Diceros bicornis minor: one gene and its partner. The protein of the gene in region 2 purifies or fractionates together with the protein of the main gene of each other region. This does not show direct contact. Links are inferred from orthologs where the notes say so. Each region holds a gene or a part of one and is shown on either strand. Other genes may lie near its edges.

The links. Proteins that work in one complex are often made in the same cells at the same time.
Region 1: the proteins of PDE4DIP (region 2) and PRKAR2B purify together in Homo sapiens (affinity purification with mass spectrometry; 4 studies listed by BioGRID and IntAct, counting the BioPlex papers as one, with this or other methods). This does not show direct contact. The link is inferred for Diceros bicornis minor from reciprocal best matches to the Homo sapiens genes PDE4DIP and PRKAR2B.

The regions. Positions count from the first base shown.
Region 1 is NC_080742.1:11,400,940-11,408,448, reverse strand, and holds the start of PRKAR2B (cAMP-dependent protein kinase type II-beta regulatory subunit), read left to right. Parts: upstream 1-4,185; 5' UTR 4,186-4,360; coding exon 4,361-4,685; intron 4,686-7,509. UniProt on the Homo sapiens protein: Regulatory subunit of the cAMP-dependent protein kinases involved in cAMP signaling in cells. Type II regulatory chains mediate membrane association by binding to anchoring proteins, including the MAP2 kinase.
Region 2 is NC_080743.1:52,080,354-52,088,079, reverse strand, and holds the start of PDE4DIP (myomegalin), read right to left. Parts: upstream 3,334-7,726; coding exon 3,101-3,333; intron 1-3,100. UniProt on the Homo sapiens protein: Functions as an anchor sequestering components of the cAMP-dependent pathway to Golgi and/or centrosomes.

The DNA.
Region 1 (7,509 bases), on a different chromosome or scaffold from region 2:
TAGTGTCAAGTATATTCACACTGTTGTGCAACCAACCCCAGAATTTTTTCATCTTGCCAAACTGAAACTCTTTACCCATTAAACGGCAACTCCTCATTTCCCTCTTCCCTCAGCTGCTGGCAACCACCATTCTACTTTCTGTTTCTATGGATTTTGACTACCCCAGACATCTCATATAAGTGGAATCAGACAGGCTTATTTCGCTTATTTCACTTAGCATAATGTCCTCAAGGTTCATCCATGTTGTACCATGTGTCAGAATTTCCTTCCTTTTTAAGGCTGAATCATTTAAAATTTTTTATTTTTTTTTTATGTTTTTTTATTTTGGTTCTTTTGTTCTTTTGTCCTTATAAGTTTATCGTTTTGTTTTATTTTCCCCATTCCTTTAGCCATTATTTTAGTACAGTTTCCGGAAGTGGAGATAAATTTTTGAGTCCAACCTAGTCCTTAATAGGAAAATCATATTCTATTTATGAAATCTAAGGACATATTCTCTGTTGCTTTCGACAATCTCTTTAACTTTGCAAGACCCCTTAAGGAGAAGAGAATAATAAAGTTGCATTTAATCCTCATTTAGCCAAAGAAAAATTTATGCTTTGCTTTGATGTTAAGCAAAAAAGTTACTTTAAGCAGTTGTCTTTTTACTATGAGTAGAAACTCTTTCCTGGGAAAGTTAGTGTAGTGGATCTCAAGGTTTGGTCCCCAGACCTGCAGCAACAGCATCACCTGGGAGTTTGACAGAAATGCAAATACTCAGGCCCCACCTCATACCTACTAACTCTGAAAATCTGGGGGTGGGGCCAGCAACTGTGTTTTCACAGGCGCTGCAAGTGCTTCTGATGCTTGCTAAAGTTTGAGAACCACTGGTCTTCTAGAGGCAACGCTTCGCAAAACCGCATCTAGAGATTAAACATTTTGTTTAGTTTTACTCCAAATGTTTACAAGATTTTCAGGCTCTGAGGTGACCATCTTTCAGCAGACAAGTTGTGAGGCACCCCTACCACCTATAGTGCCCATCTGCGGGACTTTTCTCTCTGCTGGAGAGGAAGGCCTTGTCCTGTATTTATACTACCTGACCACTTCCTTACCCTGCACCCCACTGGCCACACTGACTGAACCAGGAGAGGAGCCCTCACTCAAGGCCAGCCAGTCCACTGGATGGTCAGGACCAACTAGCTGGATCCTCTCTCGAGAATATGAGCTAGAGACACGAGACCGTAGTCAGTGCTGAACTGCTAAAGGTATAGAAAACTGAGTGATGGCCACAGTGGCCCTGTGCAGGCACAGCCCCTGTGTCCTTTCAAAAAAAAGTAGCCCCTGCCTACTTTTTTTTCCCTTGAGTGGGTATACATTTTTTGCGCCAAAGAGACTTGATCAGGATACATCTTAACTATTGATAAGAAATGCCGTATGATTGATTGGTCGTAGTTAGTATCATCCATTGTAAAGCTTGCCCAAACTATTGGCTTCTCCACGCTCTTGTCCTCTTTTGGAACTGCATATAAACAAATTGATGTCTCTGTCCAATATGTGTTTAATTCCCCATATGTGAAAACACATTTGGTAGCGCTCTTATTGCATTCCAATGCTGAACTCTTGGAGTTCTTTTGCAATTGCTTCTGATTCTCTGAGAAACTAGTGCAAATTGCTTTGTAAATCAACAACCAAAGAATCAATATCCGTGATGTTCTTTTAAAGAATTTGAAGATAAATAGTCCCCATAAGCCACTGTCATTGTACTCCAAGGTTCAAAAGGAAATATTCTGAAAATGAAAGCAAAGGAAATCATACAATATTACCAAAATGGTTATGTGGTAGTGAATAAAAGCCAGAATATGATTTGAGGAGTGAACGTTTGTTCTGAGAACAATATTAACATAACAGGAATATCAGGATCAAGCTTTACTTTTTCAGGTCACGGTTATTGATTTAAGAATTTATGCAAACAAAAATCGTTATCAGAGAGTTGTTTGCAAAAATGTTTTAAATCCAACATGTCTTCTTTTAATATTATACTATTGTAGAATATCCCAGGATGGGAGAGACCATAAAGGTCATCTAATCCAGTTATGCATTTCCTGCTTGACTCACTTCTATACCCCTAAAGAAATGACAGCCACACGACCCTGGCATTGTGGTTGATGACAGAGCCATTTACCATGCCTCATATAGTAAATCTACAAAAAGGAATCAATGCATTTTGAAAACACAAAATATAGGATGCTACTTTGAAATATGGCTTTTGTAAGTGTTTGGAAAAGTAGTGCTTTTTTCTTCTGTTATTCATGGGGGAAAGGGTGTTAAGCATTGTGGCAGACACTATTTATTGTCCCCAGAATTGGTTGTCCGTAATCTACAAATGTCTGGTTGGCACATGACTGCTCAAAATAAAGCTTACATTCCCAAGCTTTCCTTACAGCCATGCGTCTCGGTTACTATTGCTGTGTAACAAATTACCACCAAGCTTAGAGGCTTAAAACAACCTTTGTATTATGCTCACAGATTCTGTGGGTCAGGATTTGGAACAGGGCATCACGGGGCTGGCTGCTTCTGTCATGCGATAGTGACTTCTATCAAAGCAGTCACAAGCCCATCCAGATTCAAGAGGAGGGGAATTAAGACTCCAGCTCTTGATGGAGGAGTGGAAGGTCACACGCAGAAGAGCACATGGGACAGGAGATATTTTTGCAGCCACCTTTGGAAAATGCAATCTGCCACACTATAGGTGTGGCCATCCTAAGTTCTGGCCAAGAGGACATAAGAGGAATTAGTGTGTTTAACTTTCTGGAAGTGTCCTTAGGGGGCGGATGTGTGTTTTGGGGAGGTGGGGAGAGGTTCCCTTCTCTTTTCCACTTTCCTCTTGGCTGAAATATGGATGAGACGACAGGAGGTGGGGCAGCAATTTTGGACCACAAACTGAGGATTCCGGAGCTATGAGCTGGAAAGAGCCTGGGAGCCTGATGACCATGGGAGCACCCGACCAGCCCTGCCCTGTTTACATTTACATTACAGAGAAATAAGCTGCTCTCTTGTTTAAGCTACTGTATTTTGCATTTTCTGCCACATGCAAGCAATGGTAATCTTAATAAAGACATCATCATTAATGAAGACAGATCAATGCTAATCTTAATAAAAACATCATCATAAATGTAGACAGATGATGCAAATTCATCTTAAATTACTGGAGCTATAAAGACAATAATGCCTATATGGTTTATATAATGCTTATACGATTGGAGTTTGACTAATATTGTGGGCCATGCAGTGAGGATCACAGTACTTTATAAAAGTTTACATCTTAAAATGCTTGACACTTACAATTAGAAGTACTTTACTATATTTAAAGACAACATATTATTATGAGGTTGATAAGAAACGAAAATAAAGAAAACATTCACTCATGGAATGAATACAAATTGGATTACAAACAAAGGGTTTATATCAAGATGTATTTTTATTGGTAAGTGCCGCACAACAAATGGTGCATTTGTTTCAATAAACAGTAGTAAACGCACAAAGTGGACAATGAAATAGTATCAGTAAGGCAAAACATCATAGACTGGATGGAGAAAGGCTGGAGAAAACGTGGCGAAAGAAAAAGAAAGGTGTCACAAAGATGGAGCATTATGTCCAAAAGAGAATCAGTGCCATCATATGACTTTAAACAAAAGACATTACCAACACTTATCAATAGATTCTCGGAGGAAAATAAAATGCCGCTACCGAGGTGGGGGCTGAAGTTTCAGGGCAAATCGCGCGGCACCAGCTCGGCGTGGGTTTCCTGTGGTTAATGACAGGTGGGAATTCGGCAGAGCGGCCAGCCCGCTCCGGGGAGTGCGGACAGGTGGACGGCGAAACGCGCCTGGAAGAGGGCACCCGGGTAGTGTGGAGCGGCCCCCCACGCCCCCGCTGCGCGCCGGAGCAGCATTCCCCGCAAGCCCGCCGGCGCCCTCCACCGTCTTCAGGCCGGCAGCTGCCCGAGCGGCGGGTGCGCGGCGCCCGCCGGCGGTGGTTGCCATGGTTTCCGGGAGTCACGTGGGCGCGCGGCGGCGGGGCGGGGGCGGGGGCGGGGCGGGGCGGCCGGGCGGGGGAGAGGAGCGGCCGCGGCGGGCGCGGGAGGAGCCGGAGATGCTGCCAGCCCTCCCGGGGCCGCGCTCGCTCAGCCACCGCCGCCGCTCGGAGCAGCCGCGCGCCAGGAGCTGCGGGCCGGGCCAGCCGGGCCGCCGGGGCCCAGTGCGCCGCGCTCGCAGCCGGTAGCGCCGCCAGCGCCGTCCGCGCTCGCCCGGGGGCCGCGGGGCCCGAGGCCGGTCCGCGGAGGGGGCGAGGGCGGCGCCCGGGTGCCCGCTGCCCCGGAGGCAGGATGAGCATCGAGATCCCGGCGGGACTGACGGAGCTGCTGCAGGGCTTCACGGTGGAGGTGCTGAGGCACCAGCCGGCGGACCTGCTGGAGTTCGCGCTGCAGCACTTCACGCGCCTGCAGCAGGAGAACGAGCGCAAAGGCGCCGCGCGCTGCGGCCAGGAGGGCAGGACCTGGGGGGACGCGGGCGCCGCCGCCGCCGCCGCCGCCGCCGCCGGGGGCGGCACCCCCAGCAGGGGGGTCAACTTTGCCGATGAGCCGGTGCACGCCGACTCGGAGAACGGGGAGGAGGAGGAGGCCGCGGACGCAGACGCAGGGGCGTTCACCGGTGAGGACCCGACCCCCGCACGCCCCGGCTCCCCAGTGCAGTTCCCCCTTTTTTGCCCTTTAATCCTGCAGCTTTGCTCACCCACCCTTGCCCGCCTTCTCCACCTTCCCTACCTTCCTATCTCGCCTACCCCCTCAGCATCCATTTCTGTCTCTCCCACTCGCCCACCTTCCTACTCTGCTCTCATGCCCTCTCCTCCTCGTCCCCTCCCCTGGAGGTGGGGAGCTGAAAGGTTGGGTTCTCGTCCTGGACTCAGAGGCAGAGGACGACCGGTTTGAGTGGGCATCTGAAAGACAACTTCCACTGTGGTTGGAAATATTTCGTTTGACGGGTACCATTGTGCATAAAAAACTGGCCCATTTGGCGTCCTCTTTCAGCCCTTATGTTTATTAATAGAGCGTCCAAAGAGAAGAGGTGAGGGGTGTTCAATTGGATTGGCTTTACTGTTATTAGGATGGCCAATTCACTAAAAGGAGCATGAAATTGGACTCACTGGGGCAGAACAAAATTTATGGTAATAGCTTTCATATTTTTGGAAACAGACAAATCTGTTAATTTCCCATTTATCAATACCGCATTTTGTTGTTTTTGGACACACAACAAAGGATCCTGTTTAGCCTGCGACCCATGGGGTCTTTGGAGTGAGGAAACGGGCTAATGGTTTGCTTTTTATTTAAAACAAATATTGAATGATATGGAGCCTTTTTTAAAAAAATAAAAAGTGTGTGAAAAACACTGTAGGAAGTTCTGAAAGCTTGTTGGTTGTCTTTAGAATGAAAAACCAGTGAGTAATTGTAAGGACTGTGCCAGACACTGAAGCTGGAAAGAATGAATGGAAAAGAAAAAGGAATTTTCTCAAATAGCTGCTCCTGGCAAGTCCCACCCCTTCTGCTTACAACCCTTTTTCCCTAACACACAGACGGACACGCACATTTACAGCTTCCTGTGTTTACACGACATGCCCAGATCCCATCTTTATGGCATCCCAAGGCTAAAATACCATGGTGTGCAAATGTGCAAGTGTTTTTTTCTCTTTGTGGTGGAAAGCAAACGTGCGTTGAGCGTTGCACCAGCCTTTATTTATTTACACTGCTTGTGGTTTGTGTGTCCGCAGAGCATTTCATATAAGGAAAACATTTTCAAGTGTCATTTCCTTGTGCATGTTGCTAGGAAGGTGTTTCTTTTCTTTGCAAAATTATTGAAATGTGTTATAAAATCAGTGTATTTTTAGCTTGTCCAAAATAATCACAAAAGCCCTGGAAATTAGTGCTCTATGAAGATAAAAGGGAAGATGGTTACTTTAAAAATTTTAATTTTGGTCTTGTTAATGTTTCCAGGGATAGGATGATCATAGTCTTAATTGTTCTTTTTGCGCAAGAATTTAATCAAATGCCTTTCTTATTAGAAGCAAGAAAAAGATAAAATAATACATATTTTAAGTAGATGAGAAAGAGAAGCCAATGATGGGTGACACAGAAAGGGCAGAGGCATCTAATACTTCTTTTATGCTCCTGAGACAGGCATGTACACACGCATACATACACATGCACACACACAAAGGGAAAAAGGACTTGTTTCCCATATGGGAGGAAACTAGGAATTTAGGGACTTGGTAAAGAACCTATATATGTTCGATACAATATATTGTCAGTATAACTAAAATATTTTGTTTGTATAATGCTTTTGAAGTACTTTGCATTGGTGATTCCCTTTTCTCCTTACAACAATGTGTATTGTACACAGAACAGATTTTATTTCCATTTTGCAATGAAGAAATAAGCCATTAACTTCTAAACAGCAGGGATCATTTTAAATGGTTTTATATTCTCCAAGGCACCTTTACTCTAAAAATTTCTCAGTGTGAGTTTTAAGAAATGCTTATTAACCAATTGCACTATTTATTCCCCAGCCCTAGCCCCAAGGACTTTAAAACTTTTTTGACTGCAACCAAATACAGTGTGACCATTATCCAATACACACATCTGTGTATAGGTATAACAGAAACTTTGGCAGTGGTGCTTCCTTCTACTTGGTGCAGTAGAAAACATCTACTAGAATATTATCTATTCCAATCAATTCTCTCGCTCGCTCTCGCGCTGGCGCTCCCTCTCGCTCTTGCTCTTGCTCTTTTTTTTTTTTCTGAGGAAGATTAGCCCTGAGCTAATATCCATTGCCACTCCTCCTCTTTTTGCTGAGGAAGATTAGCCCTGAGCTAACATCTGTGCCCATCTTCCTCTGTTTTGTATGGGGATGCCTTCCTCTTTTGATGAGCGGTGCGTAGGTCCATGCCCAGGATGCAAACCTGCAAACCCCTGGCTGCTGAAGCAGAGCGCACGAACTTAACCACTACACCACCAGGCCGGCCCCCAATTGTCTTGTTTTTTTTAAGCAAATTGTGTTGAGACCTGCAGTTTAAAAACAATTATAGATTACCAAGGGGTTGGCAAACTTTTATGTGAAGGGCCAGACAGTAAGTATTTTAGGCTTTGTGAGCACGATATGGTCTCCATCACATATTCCTTTTTTTTTTGTTTTTTTAACAATGCTTTAAACACATCTTCCCTTTGGAGGTTGGGGTTGTACAGAACTGGCCCCAGTTTGCCAACCCCTGGTGAGAGCAGAGAAACAAGTCAAAATTGTGCCATTGGAAAAAAAAAACAAAACAGGAATGAGCCTATCAGTTTAATATCTACATCCAAAGAAGTACCAAAACATGAGAAACACCAGATCCTGGGTAATTCTCCTGGCATAGTAAAGAGTAAGTACTAGAAGACAAGTCTTAATTTACTGTGACACAGCACAAGACCAGCTGGATCAGTAATTC
Region 2 (7,726 bases):
TTCAAAAGTACACACTGAGGCAGACTGCCATCAGCAACTCACTTAATTCCTCTTTTTAAATAGCTGTATACTTGAAAGAGGATCATCTTTGAATTAAATCCTCATAGAAAAGTGCTGTCCCAGTGTGGGTCTCACTTCAATAAGGCATTTTCTCAGGGCCATACATCTGCTTGTATCCCTGGGCTAAAATTTGCCTTCCCCTCAACCCTGACTTCATTATCTTACTAGGCCACACAAAGTTCTTCTCCTGAGTGTGTGAAGCCCTCTCTGATCCACTGTCCCTTAGCACCATATCCAGTTGCCACTAACTACCTGGTTCATATTGCCAGGACATAGGGGCTGTAACAAGGTCCCCCAATCCCACTTCCCTATCCCTGTCATGAATTTTACCTAGGGCAAGTACGCTCACCAAGCTATGGTGAAGACAAACTGGTTCAGAGAAGAGATGTGCAGACACTTGAAACAGACACAAGGATTCCCCAAGCCAAACAGACTATGACCTGGTTGAAAATATTAGCATGTCAGAGACAGAAAAAAGGTGTATGTGAGAAGAGAGTTTGATCATTAGTGACACACCATCCAGGGAAGGAAGAACCCATTTGTATCCCTTGATACTCTGTTTGAAGCTTTAAAGTGTTTTTTAAAATTTAGAATTCACTGATTAATCCCCTTTGTTCTAAATTCAAGTTTCACAAACAATCTTGTGGTTCTAATTTGGCTTCTGAATGTGGCAAGTATGCCCAGAGACCTCACTGAAATAACAAAAGAGGGTCTAATTCTCTAAGATGTTAGAATCTTCATTATAAATTAATAATTTGCCTTCCTGGGTTTATATCATAGTCTCGTGGATTTGTTGAATATCAGTGTGAGAAACAGACTCAACAAGTTAAAGACCAGATTCTCACATACTTTCCAAGATAAGGCCACCTTGTATGGCTTCTTGGGACACAGTCAGCCAGCCTTCCCCAGAGATATTCTTTTATTTACTTATTTTTTATTTCCACAGTCCATCTTTCTGTTACAGCACTTACTCCATACTATACATAGTTAGATGAGCATAGTTTAGAACTACAGAGTCTCAGGTACCTGAGGGTAGTTTTGGATCCAGTTTTGTACTGGCCTCCACCAGCACTGCTCAATAAATAACACTGAATTAAATTGAATCTGGATAGTGTGCAGAGTTGCTTTCTTTCATTTTTTAGTTGATTGGGAGTTAGAAAATTGGATACCAAAAACACTCCTTCCCAAGTACAAGCCTCTAATTCTCATAAACCTCTAATATTATAGTTAAGACACGTATGTTTTTAAAAGTACGCTGCACATTCCTGGAGACTTGATTTTTAAATGAAGGTCAGAGTAGCACCAACCTCAGTGAAGTCCCTGACACTGTTTCCTTTGAGAATTCCTGAAATGTTTAAAAACATTTCAAGGCTCGTCATTACATCAACTAAGATGAATGTAGAGGTTTGTCAGATGAGTAACTATTAATGAAATAATTAAAGCATGCTATTTATTTTAACAATTAAACCACAATTTAGAGAACCAAATTCTAATCCTACAAACTTTTTGTTACCAAAGACAGTAAGAAAAATCACACCTTTATGATAAGAAGTCACGATCCACTTAAAATTTTGCAATGGTAATGCTTCTTTTGATGAAAGGAGGTCACCCCAGTGTAGATAAAGTAGTTAAGAAGATTTTAAATTATAAATATATATTCAGATTAAATTTTTTTGTTTCAAGCTTTAAAAAAACTCCAAAGTACTCTGTAAAAAATATTCAACACCCCATAGATAGATATGTTAAAAAAAAAAGTACTTATATTTAGGCTAAAATTTCACTTTATAAAAAATCAAATAATGAATACTTCTTGCTTCATTCCTTCTTAAAAGCAGTAATTTATTATGGATTTCTTAATAGAAATGTGATTCCTTTAAGCACTGTTAACTGAATGTTTGATTCAGTCTTCTCAAATAAACAGTGGACAGTATGATGAATCAATACAATTAAGTGGCTGTAAATAAACTTGTTTCCTAGTTCACAAATAAAGCATAGTTCTGAACACAGAATACAGATTCCATTAATATTTAGTTCTGTAATAAATACTCAAAAGATCCAAATCCTGATTTTACACATAGGAAACTGAGGCCTAGAGAAATGAGTAACTTTTTTCAGATCCCAGTTAGTTAAGGGCAGCTTAGAGACTGAAACCACTATCGCCTTGTAGTTTGTTTCATGGGTACTAGCTTCCCATAAGAGAATAAGCCAAAGATGCTATGACAAGGAAATGCTTATTTCAAAAAAGGCAGCAGCACCATCTGTCTCTTCTCCAAAAAATCGTATGCATGGCAGATTTTCATCCTGCTACTGCTGCGTGAAGACAATTTGGGCCTCATTTGCCCGATCTTCCAAGCCAGAGCAAAGGAAGGGACCTGTTTGGGTGGAGCTTGTCCTGCACAACCTCATCCAGCCAACAGGCAGGGCTCCAGCTCTGTAGGGGAAGAGAGGTAGCCTAGGAAGAAGGGACCGTCACCAACCCCCATCTTGCTGTCTGTATCTAAGATAAATATGAAAAAAAAAATTAAAAAGAGGGTGTAAGAGAAGGCAGTGCCTACTCTTTCAAATGTACTCCCATGCACATTTCCTGATCCTTTATCTCCTTTTACTATCCCTAATGCTTCCACCCTGACATGGCCTTCTGAATCATGTATTCATCTCTCTTTTGACTCCACCCAACAAGCATGGCCTTCAACCTCATCTCCGCCAACAAAGCGGGTGATCTCCACATTAAGCAGAGACCTTGGGATAGAGACTGGGTTTCCCAAGATTTAGTCCGGTACAATCCAGCACCCCATCTTTATTTCTAGGCAACCCTCCACTGTCTCTCCCCCTCCCGTCCCCGCCACCAGCTGCATCACCCCTCACTCCTGGTGCCCTTCAACCTTCTCCAAGCTAATGTCACTTGGCACCAACCCCTCCCAGGCGCCCAGGTCTCCAGCCCCTGGGTCCCAGTCCCAGGAGCGGTTCTCTAGCCCAGCGCAAGGCGCGCCGCCCCTCTCGGCGCAGTCTGCAGCCTCCGGCGCACCCGCGGTGCTCTCACCTCATCCAGGGTGCGGCCGCCGCGACTGCCTCTTCCTCCTCGGCCGCTGCTGCCCAGCTCCCAGCCTGCTCGGGATGCCGTCCTTCCCGGCCGGGAGACCGCCGCGAGGGCTGTGGGGCTTGCGCCGTGTCCCCAGACCAGTAAGGCGCGTGGTGCGCCCGGCGGGATGCGCGGCAGCAGCTGCTGCAGTCGCAGCGGCGGCGGCAGCAGGATCCGCTGTTGGTCCTGTTCATGGATTTCCCGAGCCTGGCCACGCCAGTCCTAGCTACCGTCCCTGCTTGGTTTTCCTACGATCTTCCCGCACTGACAAGGCGCATCCATCGTCTAGGCGTGGATGAGTATTCACACCAGTTGCCACTGTTGTGGTGGAGACCTGGAAGGACTAGGCCTCCTCCGCGCCTGCCTCTGCCACCTGCTCCGCCCAGATTGCCTCTGTCCCTCTCCCACAAACATCCGCCGCTGCCTCTTCACCCTCTATCATCTCCCCATTCTCTCTCCACCTACTACCCCCACGTGGAGAGCTTTTCTTTCCCAGACTTCATTCTTTATTTTTCCTATCCGTTCTATTGTCACCATCCTCAATTTCCAACCTCAAGAACTTTCTCCTTTTCTCATTTCCTCTCTCCGTATTTTCCCAGTTTTTGTTCTCCTCCTCCCTCAAAAGCAGTCATCCTCTTGTATTATCCTCTCCTCAGAATCACTACTTCTCCAGGTTGTTGGCTAGCCTCTTTTCTCCCTCTTTCCCGCCTTCTCCTCCTTTTAAAATCTTCTTTTCAATTTTCCCTTTAGTTATTGTAAAAACCTTTCTCCTAAACAACCTCAGTTTTCCTTTCAGTTGAGGCCTTCTGATTGCCATTTTTCATGAAGAACTCATAGTAAAATATATATAGCTTGGTATCCACCATCAAGTCAAGGGTATGTTTTCATGGTTAGAAAAAAGTTCATAGGTCAAATAAGTCCTCCACTAAATGTTTGTTCTGAAAACCGTTTTCTTATATTCCAGTGTCCTCTAAGAATGGAAGCTAGTGAGTCTCCAGCAAAGCAGAATGCTTCTACTACACTATTCTATATGGCACAAAGCCTGCAAGGGAGAAGCTTTATCTTTGTGGTGGGTACTATCGATCCCAATGTTGATAGGCAATATAGTCACTATTGTTGATTGACTCGATGTGAACTGTGAAAATTAATAAAGGGAAACCTCATTTAAAATGGAGTTGGGAGGCTGGGAGGGGGAGCTGCCATGCAGTACCATTGAAGGTCAATTACAGAAAAGTCAATTATAGACCTCAACAGAAAGAAGTCAACAGGAAAGCACCGTCAATTACAGGAAGAAATGTAATTGGATCCCAAACAGAAATGGACTACCCCAGCAACTTAGCCAATGAGAAACTCTCAATGTCCTGAACTCTTGCTTTTCCCCAGTGAAGTGTCCTTCAAAACAATCCCTCCCATTTTCCTCCTTTTTCTCTATAAAATAACATTCCTCTCTCTTGTTTGTTGGATTTGCCAATGGTCCGCTATAGCATGCCCATTCCAAATTGCAATTCTATGACTATTCCCAAATAAATTCATTTTTCTGGTAAAATAACTGGCTGTTTTATTTTTAAGGTTAACAGAACAAAGCTGAACTCACCCTTAATTTATTTTTCCTTCCAAATATGCTGTTCAGTCTTGTTTTTTTTTAACCCCCACACTACCATCAACCCAGTGGCTCAAGCCTCAAACCTGGGAGTCACTTGAGACTTGTCTCTCTCACTTATCCATCTCATCCAGTTTTTAATTCCACTTCTTTACTATTTCTTTATCTTTAAGTGGTCGCCCCCATCATGATTCCAACTGCCTCTTGGAAATAACGCTATCTAGTGTCTCATCAAGTATCTCATTATTCTTTCTTTCAAACCTCCTAACTTAATCTATATCTTTACCTCTCTTTCTTTCCAATCTATCTTCCCTGGGCAGTTTACCCTACCGCTCTCATCTCTACTTAGAAAGTGTTAATTATCTTTTGTTGTCTTTATATTTTTGGCCTCCCATTCTCCATTAGCTCCATCCCCAGCCTATAAAGACGCTCAAGTCTCCTCATCCCTAAAACAAAGTTCTTCCACCTCTAACCACCGTCATAGCTCTCACTTCCCTTCATAACCAGTTTGCTTAAATACATTGTATTCATTTGATGTCTATACTTCCTGACTTCCATTCATTCTTTACCACCTAATTCTTGGCAGTCGGGCTTCTAATCCTATTACTTAGCTGAAGCTGCTCTCCTAGCTGACTCAGACTTTGGCTTTGCCCACAGACGAGTAGTAGATTTTATATAATACACAAATTAAAAGGAATGGGTTCATTAATTTAAAGAGAATATGCCATCTTCGTTAGTTGAGGCAGACAAACAGTTCATCGAAATTACCACAAACCCAAAAGCTAAGAAGTGCTGAGACTTCCAGTTCCAGCCAAAATGGAGGAGCATGTATCAGATTAACTTTTTCCTCCTGGGCAAGGGGAGTGGAATTGCATAGAATATATAAATATTAATAAATATATAAATACTATATATATTTAAATATAGGAAAATACAAAAACAAGTCTTGGAAGGCATTGAGGAGTAGCCAAAGCAAACAGGAATCCAATCTATGATCCTTGAGAGAAGAGAAGCACATGAGGTGAGCTCCATATTCACCCTGGGATTTTTCTCCTGAGAGAATTTTACAAATCAGGTGCTAGAGAATAAAGGCCAAGTACAAGATGGCAGTATTACTGGGCTAAAGAGACAAAGGTGAAAGTTCAGGGCTGCCAAAGTGGCTGGGACTTGAGGGAGAATCCCCAGAGAGGGGAGAATGGCAGAGAAGCAGCTCAATAATCTGGGTACAAATTCCCCTCAGAATAGGGGCCAGTTCCTAAGCCCAGCATGCACAAAGCAAGATGCCAGAAAACAGCAGTATGGAGCCTAATGAGCTAAGAAGAGATTTCAGCATCTAACACAAGTTGGACTTCAAGCCTGTCCAAGGTAGAGAGACACCCAGGGCTTTCAGCTGATACCCAAAAAGGCCACACTATTAGAGTAAGGGCAATACAGTACTGAAATAGAATAGGTCTAACAAAGCTTAAAACCACGTCTTTACAGGATCAAACTGATCTGCCAGTATTCTTTCTGCATACCAGAACAAAACTGAACTCTTGGGAGTTGAATAACATTATCCATAGCCTCTACAATTTTTTCATCCACAATGTCTAGGATCCAAGATAAAATTATGAGGCATTCTAAAAATCAAATCCAAGTGACTAACCACTAAGAGAAAAATTAATAGAAACAGACCTGGATATTAGAGTTGACAGGACTTGAAATAACTATGACTAATAGGTTTAAGAAAATAGAGGAAGAAATGAGCAATGATGTAAAATGGATAATTTACTTCAATATAGAATTGGAATCTATAAAAAAATCAGATGGAAATTCTGAATATAAAAATTACAATAACTGAAAATAAGAGCCCATTGGGTGTGTTTCCAGCGGTCTGAATACAGCAGAAGTCAGGATTAGTGAAGTGGTAGGTAGGTCAATAGAAAATTCCAAAATGAAGGACAGAAAAAAGAAGAGAAAAAAGAGCAGAGCATAACAGACATGTGGAATACAGTCAAAAGATAAAATATATGTGTAATTACAGTCTCTGAAAGAGAGGAGAGCGTGAGTGGGCTAAAAGCAATATCCCAGGAGATAAAGACTAAGAATTTTCTAAAACTGATGAAAGATATTGCCTTCTTAGATTCCAGAAGTTCAGTAAACCCCAAGTAGAATAAAAAACCAATATATCTCGGAAATATTAGAAGCAGTTTCAACTCAGAAATGTGCTGAAGACAATTCTCCAGCTGAAATAAAGTAGGGAATCTTGATCAGGAGGCAGGTTTCATAGGCCTAATCAGTCTCATAGCGTTTACACAGTGGCTGGAGTCACTGTGCAAGGGCTGAAAATGAACACGCACAAGAGAATATGAAAATTATGTCACTAAACAGAGCCTACACTCAAATCAGCCCTTGGGTGTCAGGAAAAAAGGGGGAAATGGAAATTAATAGGTTTTGATTATGCTGGTGGAAAACCAAAATCAATAAGCTCATTAAAACATAGTTAGTAACCGGAAAAAAAGACTGCCAACCTTTAAATTGCTAAATTTTATAACAAGGCAGGAAAATCTCAAGTGTCCTTCCCTGAAAGAGGAAACAATTTGTATAGGTGATTCCCACCTCCATTTGTCATGTATTAAACACAGCACAATAATTAACCTCATCATGGGAAACATTTCTCTCAATTGAGACTATGTTTACAAGTCATAGGTTCAGATAACTGGCATAAAATGATTGGTAAGCCAGAGAAGCTAAAACTGAAAAGGTTTTCTCTTCTTTCTCTACTCTTGATGCTGAGTTTCTGCTACGCTGTTCAGAAACAGCTATGTGGTTCTGACATATCCCAAGTAGTACACTGGCTTCTGATAACACCATTTTGTTTGGGTAGCTCTATGGCCTTGGAATTTACTTTTTAATTTTAATGTTTTGGCTTAATTAAATTAGTATTAATTTAATATTTTGATAATTTAATATTAAGTGTCCTATTATGTTTTGGATTGTTTGAAAGT